Linked DNA regions of Arabidopsis thaliana. The protein of the gene in region 1 interacts with the protein of each later gene in a pairwise test. Each region holds a gene or a part of one and is shown on either strand. Other genes may lie near its edges.

Region 1 (3,754 bases):
ATGTGGCGGATAATCTTGAAAGAGCTTCTTCTGTTGTCAAAGAGAGTTTTTCGAAGATCGACACTTCAAAAGATTTGGCTGGTGCTACTCCACTGTTAAAAAACCTATTAGAAGGAGTGGAGATGACTGAGAAACAATTAGCTGAGGTAAAAACGTCCATTATATATATCTTTTGAGGTAAACAATGATAATAAGACTGGTGCTGAGAATGCAATTTTGTATGTAAAACTGCAGGTGTTTAGAAAAGCTGGTTTGGTGAAAGAAGATCCTTTAAATGAACCGTTTAATCCAAACAGACATAACGCAGTGTTCCAAGTCCCAGATGCTTCCAAGCCAAAAGGCACAATTGCTCATGTCCTAAAGGTACTAAACTATTCAAAGGATTGCTCTCTTTCTTGCTTTAACTCTTAAGCCTATGTTAACTTTTAGAAATCCACACAATATCATGGATTCTCTGCCATCATTTTATAACTGTTTTTTTTTCTTCCATATTTGCAGTCTGGATACTCATTGTACGATCGAGTTATAAGGCCAGCTGAGGTTGGTGTTACTTGCGCCGTGGAGAATCAAGAAGGCGGCAAAGAGTCTGCAGCTTGAAATACTTAAAACATCGAGAGTTAAGCTTTTGTTTTTAACATCTTCATGAGTTCTTTTTTTAGTTAATAGTTCTCTTTCTTTGCATATTCATTGGAGGAACAAGATTCCCATAAGGTAGCATGACTATGCTCTGTACTTCCAGGGAAGCCCTGGTTCTGTAACTTTTACACAAATTCATAAGCCAAAGCCAAACTCTTGGTAAAAGCTTCAAATCTTACATTTATATAACTTCTTCCTAACTTACAAACACACTACATAGAGATCTAGAAGACGTCAAAGTGGAATAACCGCCTAGCATAAGATACAATATAAGACATCATCACAGCTGAACACATTTTATAGTTGCTCATCCCAAATCAATATGATTCTCTTCATTCTTCAGTCCCTTCAGAATTCAGACACAGTCCCAGATTCAAATTACCAGTTTTTGCTTCCTGCAGAGTAAGTTTATAAAACACAAGTATGAACAAACACTAACCACTTTCATTACATTGCTTGAGTTTTAAATGAAGCTTACCTTAGTTTGGTCTGAGTCTGTTAGGTTCATGTCTAGCTCAACAGCTTTAGGTAATGGAGATTCAGTGTCGAATTCTTCAGTCTCTTCAATTTCAGAATCCTTAGAAATCACTTTTTCTCTATGCTCAAGCATCGCAATCTACACAAAATCAATCATTTTCCACTAATCCCACACAACTAAAACCCTAATTTAATGATTTGGGGAAAAAAAACTTACTGGAGCGTATCTGAATCTTCGCTTAGGCGACTCCTCTGTCTCACCGGAACCATTAGCGTCGGAGGCAGTAACCGTCGCTGAGGTAAGTGGAGTCCACTTATGGAGAAGTAGATGGTGTGGTGAGTTACTGTTGTTGCTGTTGTTACGACCGTTGGATTTAGATGCTCTGAAAACACCGACGGATGAGGTTGAGACACGTACCCACTTCTTCTTCCATTTCCTTACACGGCCACTGAACACCGCCGTCGCCGCCGGACCACTGTATCTCGATGACGTCCGGCTCAATCTCGATCCTACACCTTCCATTCTCTTCTCTCTCTTCTCACTAGCCGGGAAAATAGTTGCTTTATCTATCAGCTAGAAAACGCTGCGTTTTGATGTGATATAGCCACAAACGCGGCGTATTTATGTGATATGGCTTCAAAACGCGGCGTTTTAGTGAGATAATTGTTAATTAGTTGAAACGTAGCGTTTTAAAGAGAGATTTGTTGATTAGTCGAAACGCAGCGTTTTAAGGAGATAACTCTGTTTATCTGAAAGTAGAAGCAAGAAGAAGTGGCGCTTCATTCATTAGCTCTGTTCAGTATAAGCAAGAAGAGAGAGCGAAAATGGAGCTCTGTGTTATCAGCACGACTACGACGGTGAAGGCAATTAATCCGTTTCTTCCGTCTATTACACGTCGTGTTAGTTCCCGTCTCTTCCAATCAGATAGTGTGCTACAGTTTGGTGGGAGGTTGAAGAAACCAATTAGCAGGCCTTTGGACATGTCTTGTGTCTCTAGAAAAATTGGATTTTTCGGAGATTTTATGTCACATGGTGGTAATTTTAGGCTATTCGCGGCGGCTTCTCCAGCGGTTGAAACTAGTGTAAAGGAAGACAAACTTCCAGCTGATCTTAAGGTCACGGAGACTGTACAGGCGAATTCAAGTGTAAGAGACTTTCAATTTTTTTTTTGTCTATTTGTTGGAGAATATGTGTAGCATTGTGTTTGGTCTGAGTTTTGACATGACTTGAAATTTGATTTACTGTTCAATTTAGGTGAAATTGAGTGTGGAAGTTCCAGAAATTGTCTGTGAAGATTGTTACCAACGAGTCCTTACCGAATTCATGAAACTCTCAAAGGTAAACTAATATTCATCTTACATGAAGATGAAATGTTGAAACTTGATCCATGTAATGCTTGCTGTTGATTGTGATTTTACTTGGTTTGAATCAGGTGCCTGGATTCCGTCCTAAAACAAGAGTTCCAGAGAATATTATTGTTGGTTTCGTTGGGAGGCAATATGTTCTGAGAGCAACTGTTGAATCTATCTTAAAGAGAACACTTCCTCACGCCATGGAATCAGTAAGTTTTCAAATGTTTATATTAGTTTGTTTATGTTTTTCAATCTTCCGCGGTTTAATATAATGTTTTGGCCATTTGGCAAGAACAAGTCTTGTGGTGTATCTAAATTCGGTGTTTGTTGTCTTGGAACATTATGCATATGAGATTTTGGTTTTTGTAGGTGACTGGAAGGGCTTTAAAAGACTCGATACAGATTGTAAGCAGTTTTCCAGATATGGAGAAGGCTTATTCTAAGCTCAAGACTCTTAGGTTTTTGTTTCTTCATCACATATACTAAAAATCTTTTGGAGTAATGATGCTAACTAACTTAACATGTTTTTTTTGTTTTTTTTTTTCTGATTTTCTCTTGTTCCTTAGTTATGAGGTGGTTGTTGATGTTGTACCTGAACTAAAATGGAATCCTGAGGATGGGTATAAAAATATGAAGGTCGTTGTAGAACTAGGCGATGAGATAGATGCAAAAAAAGCTTGTGAAAGACAACTAAGACAGAAATACAAGTCTCTTGGTGCGTTGAAGATTGTAACCGAGCGAGGGCTACAGGTAAAGGAATGCATAAATTCCCCATGTCCTTGCATTGTTTTCTGAAACTAGTGTAAGGTTGCTAATTGCTGAGTTAAAATAGGACCGACCTTTTACCTCGTTAGTCGTTACATTTAAGTTCATCCACTATAGCTTATTATAGATTTAAGTTTTTTTAAAATAATTTGGCTATGAATCTGGCTTCATTTGTTCGTAGTTAACTCTGCAAAGATGATATAGTTGCTAGAATTGCTTTTTTATTATGTCCTAAAACCGTGTAGGTGGGAGATCTAGCAGTTGTTGATATTTCTGCTACAACTATAGATGAGGACGGGTCAACGGGTCAAGCGATTCCAGATGCTGAAAGCAAAGGTTTTAGAACTGTTATATTTCAACAGAGATTTGTGGTTGAAATCTCTTAGTCCATTGAAATCATTGCTTGCAAATGAATACTGAGATTGGCGGTTGTGTGAACAGGTTTTCACTTTGACACTGAAGAAGGGAATAGATTACTTCCTGGATTCCTTGATGCAATCATAGGAATTCGAGCAGGCGAATC
Region 2 (3,754 bases), on another chromosome or scaffold:
AAATTTTGGTTTCAATTTGGTATCCCCTTTGTAAACTCAAACCAGACCAAAATGCTGACAACCTGATCCAATCCGAGTCAAAAGTTCGAACTGAAACTAAACCGGAAAACCGAATGCCATACAGAATGCAAACCCTCCTAGTATACCAAATTTGAACCAATGCTAAGTGTTGCTGTTGCAAACCCATAACTGGCCTGTTCAAGTATGTAGTTATGTATATGTATTGTAGTACAGTATACCAAGAGTAACATCCATTATAAGTTTATAACTCTCCAACAGGTAAAGAAGCTATATAACAGTTACAACACTAGTAAACATAGACAGATGGGTCTATACTTGTATATATGTTACTATGGATGTGATGAGAGTTATGATGATTTAAGGGTTTAAGAGAGAGCTTCCTTCTTTGATGAGCACATAGACGCTTCCACCATCGCCTCTCGAGATCCGAAGGTCCTTGTCGAGATAAGTTGTGAGCAGCCACGACTGCGTGTTGTCACTAGGCAGAGAAAACTTCAATGGTGGTTGGTTTGAAATGGTTCTAGCCACTGAAGAAGCAGTGTCTTGGACTGATGTAAGTAAACCTTTAATGGGATTGAGATCGATTTTCTGACCAAGAACCTCCACGGATTCCGGTATTTCAATCGAATCCGTTAGCTGAGGAGTCCCTATAACACCTTGCTCGAACTTAATCTACAACAAACAAAACAAAAAAAACAATTAGGTTATGTAACATTAGCATTTGCCATTTGTGGTTTTAGGGGATGATTCTTGATTTACCTGGACACGTTTAGGACTTCGGATTTCAAACTTAGCGTTGGTGCTAAACGACGTTGTGGAAAACGGACCAGCGAACCGGACAGAGTTTTGAACGGTGAAGCTATCGGAATCAATGGTTTGTGAGATCTCATCCACTTTAACCAACGGTTCAATTCTTCGTGAGAGCAATGGGAACAACCCCACGAACGACGTGTAGCTTCACGAGATAAACACTTAAAAACTAAGTTCTTGATTCATAACAATAACGGCTAAAAATAAACGAAGGCTCATAACTACACACAGAATCATAATCCAAATTCATAATTAAATCTTCTTTGTAACCACAACTTGCTTTTCACTATCAAAATCAAATCATTCATAACGGAACTAAACAGTTTTCACCGGGAAATTAAACTTCCACCGGTAAGTTTAAAGTATCATTAACTTAATTGGTAAAGATCCTAGACGAAGCTTAGAGATCACCGGTTTGAGTAATGTTTGGGACAAAACTAATATTACATGCCGTGCCTAGGAGAGTATCAGAACTAAAAGTACTTACGCGAGGATCCATTTGCCGTTGAGGAGAAACAGAGCTTCGTTAGGAGCTGGAGTAGGGTTCTTAGACTCGAGCTGTGTGATGAGCTCGCTGATCTCAGCTCTCGTATCACTCGATACGCTTAAACCTCGATCTGTTCCGTACAACGAATCCGCTAGTGATCTCTTTAGCCTCTCCGTCTCCTCCACGGATTCGATTGCTTTATCTGCTACCGATACGGTTGAAGATGAGGCAAATACTCTCTCCACTCCATCTTGACCCCATTCGTCGTCGATGTCCGTCGCTCGGATTTTGAAATCTGGCCGATGAACAGAGACTCCAATCTCCGATCGCCGATTTATTGAGTTAATCGGTAGTAGGATCGGAGATTTCGATTGGTGTTTAGTGTTTGATGAGCTTGGATTTAGGGTTTTGCAGGGAAACTGGGTGAACAATGGTACCGTCGCCATTTTTGTGTTTGTTCTTCAGAGAAACCTCACGAATTAGGATTTTATAACCGTTGAGCTGGACTGTAAATGACGTATATACCCTTATCTGGTACACTTTCTTATGAACATATAAGTCAAGATCCAAGGGATAGAATAGGTATTTGGAATAGAACAAATGAGGTAAGCTAAGGTGGGATTTTGACACGTGGATGGTTAAAGATCATTGTTTTAAGAATCGACCTGGACTCGTGTGAAGTTGCCGACTTTATGAAAAATTCATAAAATTTGTGGAAGATTTTATTTTCTTCAATAGGGAAACAATTTGGTTTAATTTGGTTTTTGTCCCATTATTTGTGTGGGGGAGAATTTGTTTGGGTTTTCTACGAGAGTTAGGCCATGCAATGCAAATGGCATGATGGATCTAGAATCTTCGGACGTGTACTATACTTTTTGGCCGGTTTTGGTGATCTTCGATCTTCAGTTTTCTGAACGGTGAAGATTCTCTCCAATGCAAAATATCTAAACGGCGATTAATCAACAGTGTAATAAGTAGTTGGACTAAATGGGCCTGGATAGTATATTTAATGGGCCTTTATTAACAAAGAAGACCCATTAAAAATTTAAAATGAATACAATAGTTTTGTATCCAATAGACCAATAGGTCCAAAACGTTCTTAAAGGGAGAAAAATTAGCTGGTAAAATAATAGTACCGGTGTTTGTTCAAAAAAAATAATAATAATAATACTGGGCAGGTGTAGATATTCGGGTACTCATATCTGTTCGGTTCTTTTTTTTTTTGAGTATCGGATCTATTTAGGTATGAAGTTAAAAACCATTCATGTATTCTAAAATTTTGGTTCGGTTTTGGTTTGAGTTTGGATCGATTTAGTTATTTTAGTAAGAATTGAAAAATAATCAAAAATACTCAAAATATTTTTGGGTTCAGGTCGAGTTCGAGTTTTTTACTCATCTATACCTAAATCTAACCGAGATGCCTGATTAGTTTATCCAAAAATATATTAGTTATATTTTACCAAAATATAACCAAATGTAACCAAAATACTTAAATTACTTAGAAAACTATAGGGTGAGTTAAAAATATATACATGGATAAACAGAATATTAAGAATTTATACATAAAAATATGTTATTTACGTAAATAGGAAAGAGAAATAAAATATAAACCAAAAAATATCCTTCCGGTTTAGATTAATTACAAAAATGCCATTGATTCAAAATACTTTAATATTTAATTGGGAGATTTGCAAAACTGCCCTTATTCTAATAACCTTTTGTAAAAATGTCCTTTCCTGAAGGCCATTTTTAAAACTACCCTTTCTAATATGGCAAATGACTGTCTTACCCTTACTGAATGATTAGGTTTCACATTCGTTTCACAATACAATTCGTTTTGGCACAAACTTCTTCGTTTTGGCCAACGAATTTTCCTATCCGATTTCACTCAAAATCGCCGGCGAATTTCCTCTCCGATTTCACTCAAAATTGCCGACGAATTTCCTCTCCGATTTCACTCAAAATCGCCAACGAATTTCCTCTCCGATTTCACTCAAAATCGCCGACAAATTTTCTCTCCGAGAAACCCCAAAATCGCTGACGAATTTCCTCTCCGATAAATCTGTTCTTCGCTGACGGATTCAGATCATTTCTCTACGACGCAAACAATCCCCAGAGATATCGATAGATCCGACGGTAACCGTTTTTATAATCGATTTTATAGTCGATTTTATAGTAGATCTGACGATGTTTCATAACATGTTTTGCAGATGGATTCAGAGAGTGAAATCCTTACATTGCCTGAACAGATCTACAGAGAAGGTGAGGAATCTATTGCACTGGGAACCGTTCAACAATACTTGGATTGGAATTTAGTTAGTAAAGTAGAGGAAGCTTTAGGCGAGTGTTTATTTCAGAAGATTAGAAGTTCGTTTCTTGGTCTTCTAGTTGAATTGGGACCAAAAATGAAGGCTAAGAAGGGAATCAGATTTTCTG

Evidence for each region. Proteins that work in one complex are often made in the same cells at the same time.
Region 2: the proteins of AT5G55220 (region 1) and FIB interact in a two-hybrid assay, tested with the Arabidopsis thaliana proteins (one large-scale study listed by BioGRID).

Annotation. Positions count from the first base shown.
Region 1 is NC_003076.8:22,395,739-22,399,492, forward strand, and holds the start of AT5G55220 (trigger factor type chaperone family protein), read left to right. Parts: upstream 1-1,718; 5' UTR 1,719-1,938; coding exon 1,939-2,259; intron 2,260-2,368; coding exon 2,369-2,452; intron 2,453-2,546; coding exon 2,547-2,675; intron 2,676-2,835; coding exon 2,836-2,924; intron 2,925-3,032; coding exon 3,033-3,216; intron 3,217-3,476; coding exon 3,477-3,567; intron 3,568-3,672; coding exon 3,673-3,754. Other genes in the region: MGE1 (Co-chaperone GrpE family protein), read left to right, coding at 1-146, 235-363, 499-597; AT5G55210 (uncharacterized protein), read right to left, coding at 969-1,031, 1,115-1,252, 1,331-1,636. UniProt on the Arabidopsis thaliana protein: Involved in protein export. Acts as a chaperone by maintaining the newly synthesized protein in an open conformation. Functions as a peptidyl-prolyl cis-trans isomerase.
Region 2 is NC_003075.7:1,930,171-1,933,924, reverse strand, and holds the start of FIB (fibrillin), read right to left. Parts: upstream 2,043-3,754; 5' UTR 1,765-2,042; coding exon 1,319-1,764; intron 977-1,318; coding exon 781-976; intron 694-780; coding exon 379-693; 3' UTR 1-378. UniProt on the Arabidopsis thaliana protein: Probably involved in light/cold stress-related jasmonate (JA) biosynthesis. Contributes to the protection of photosystem II (PSII) against light stress.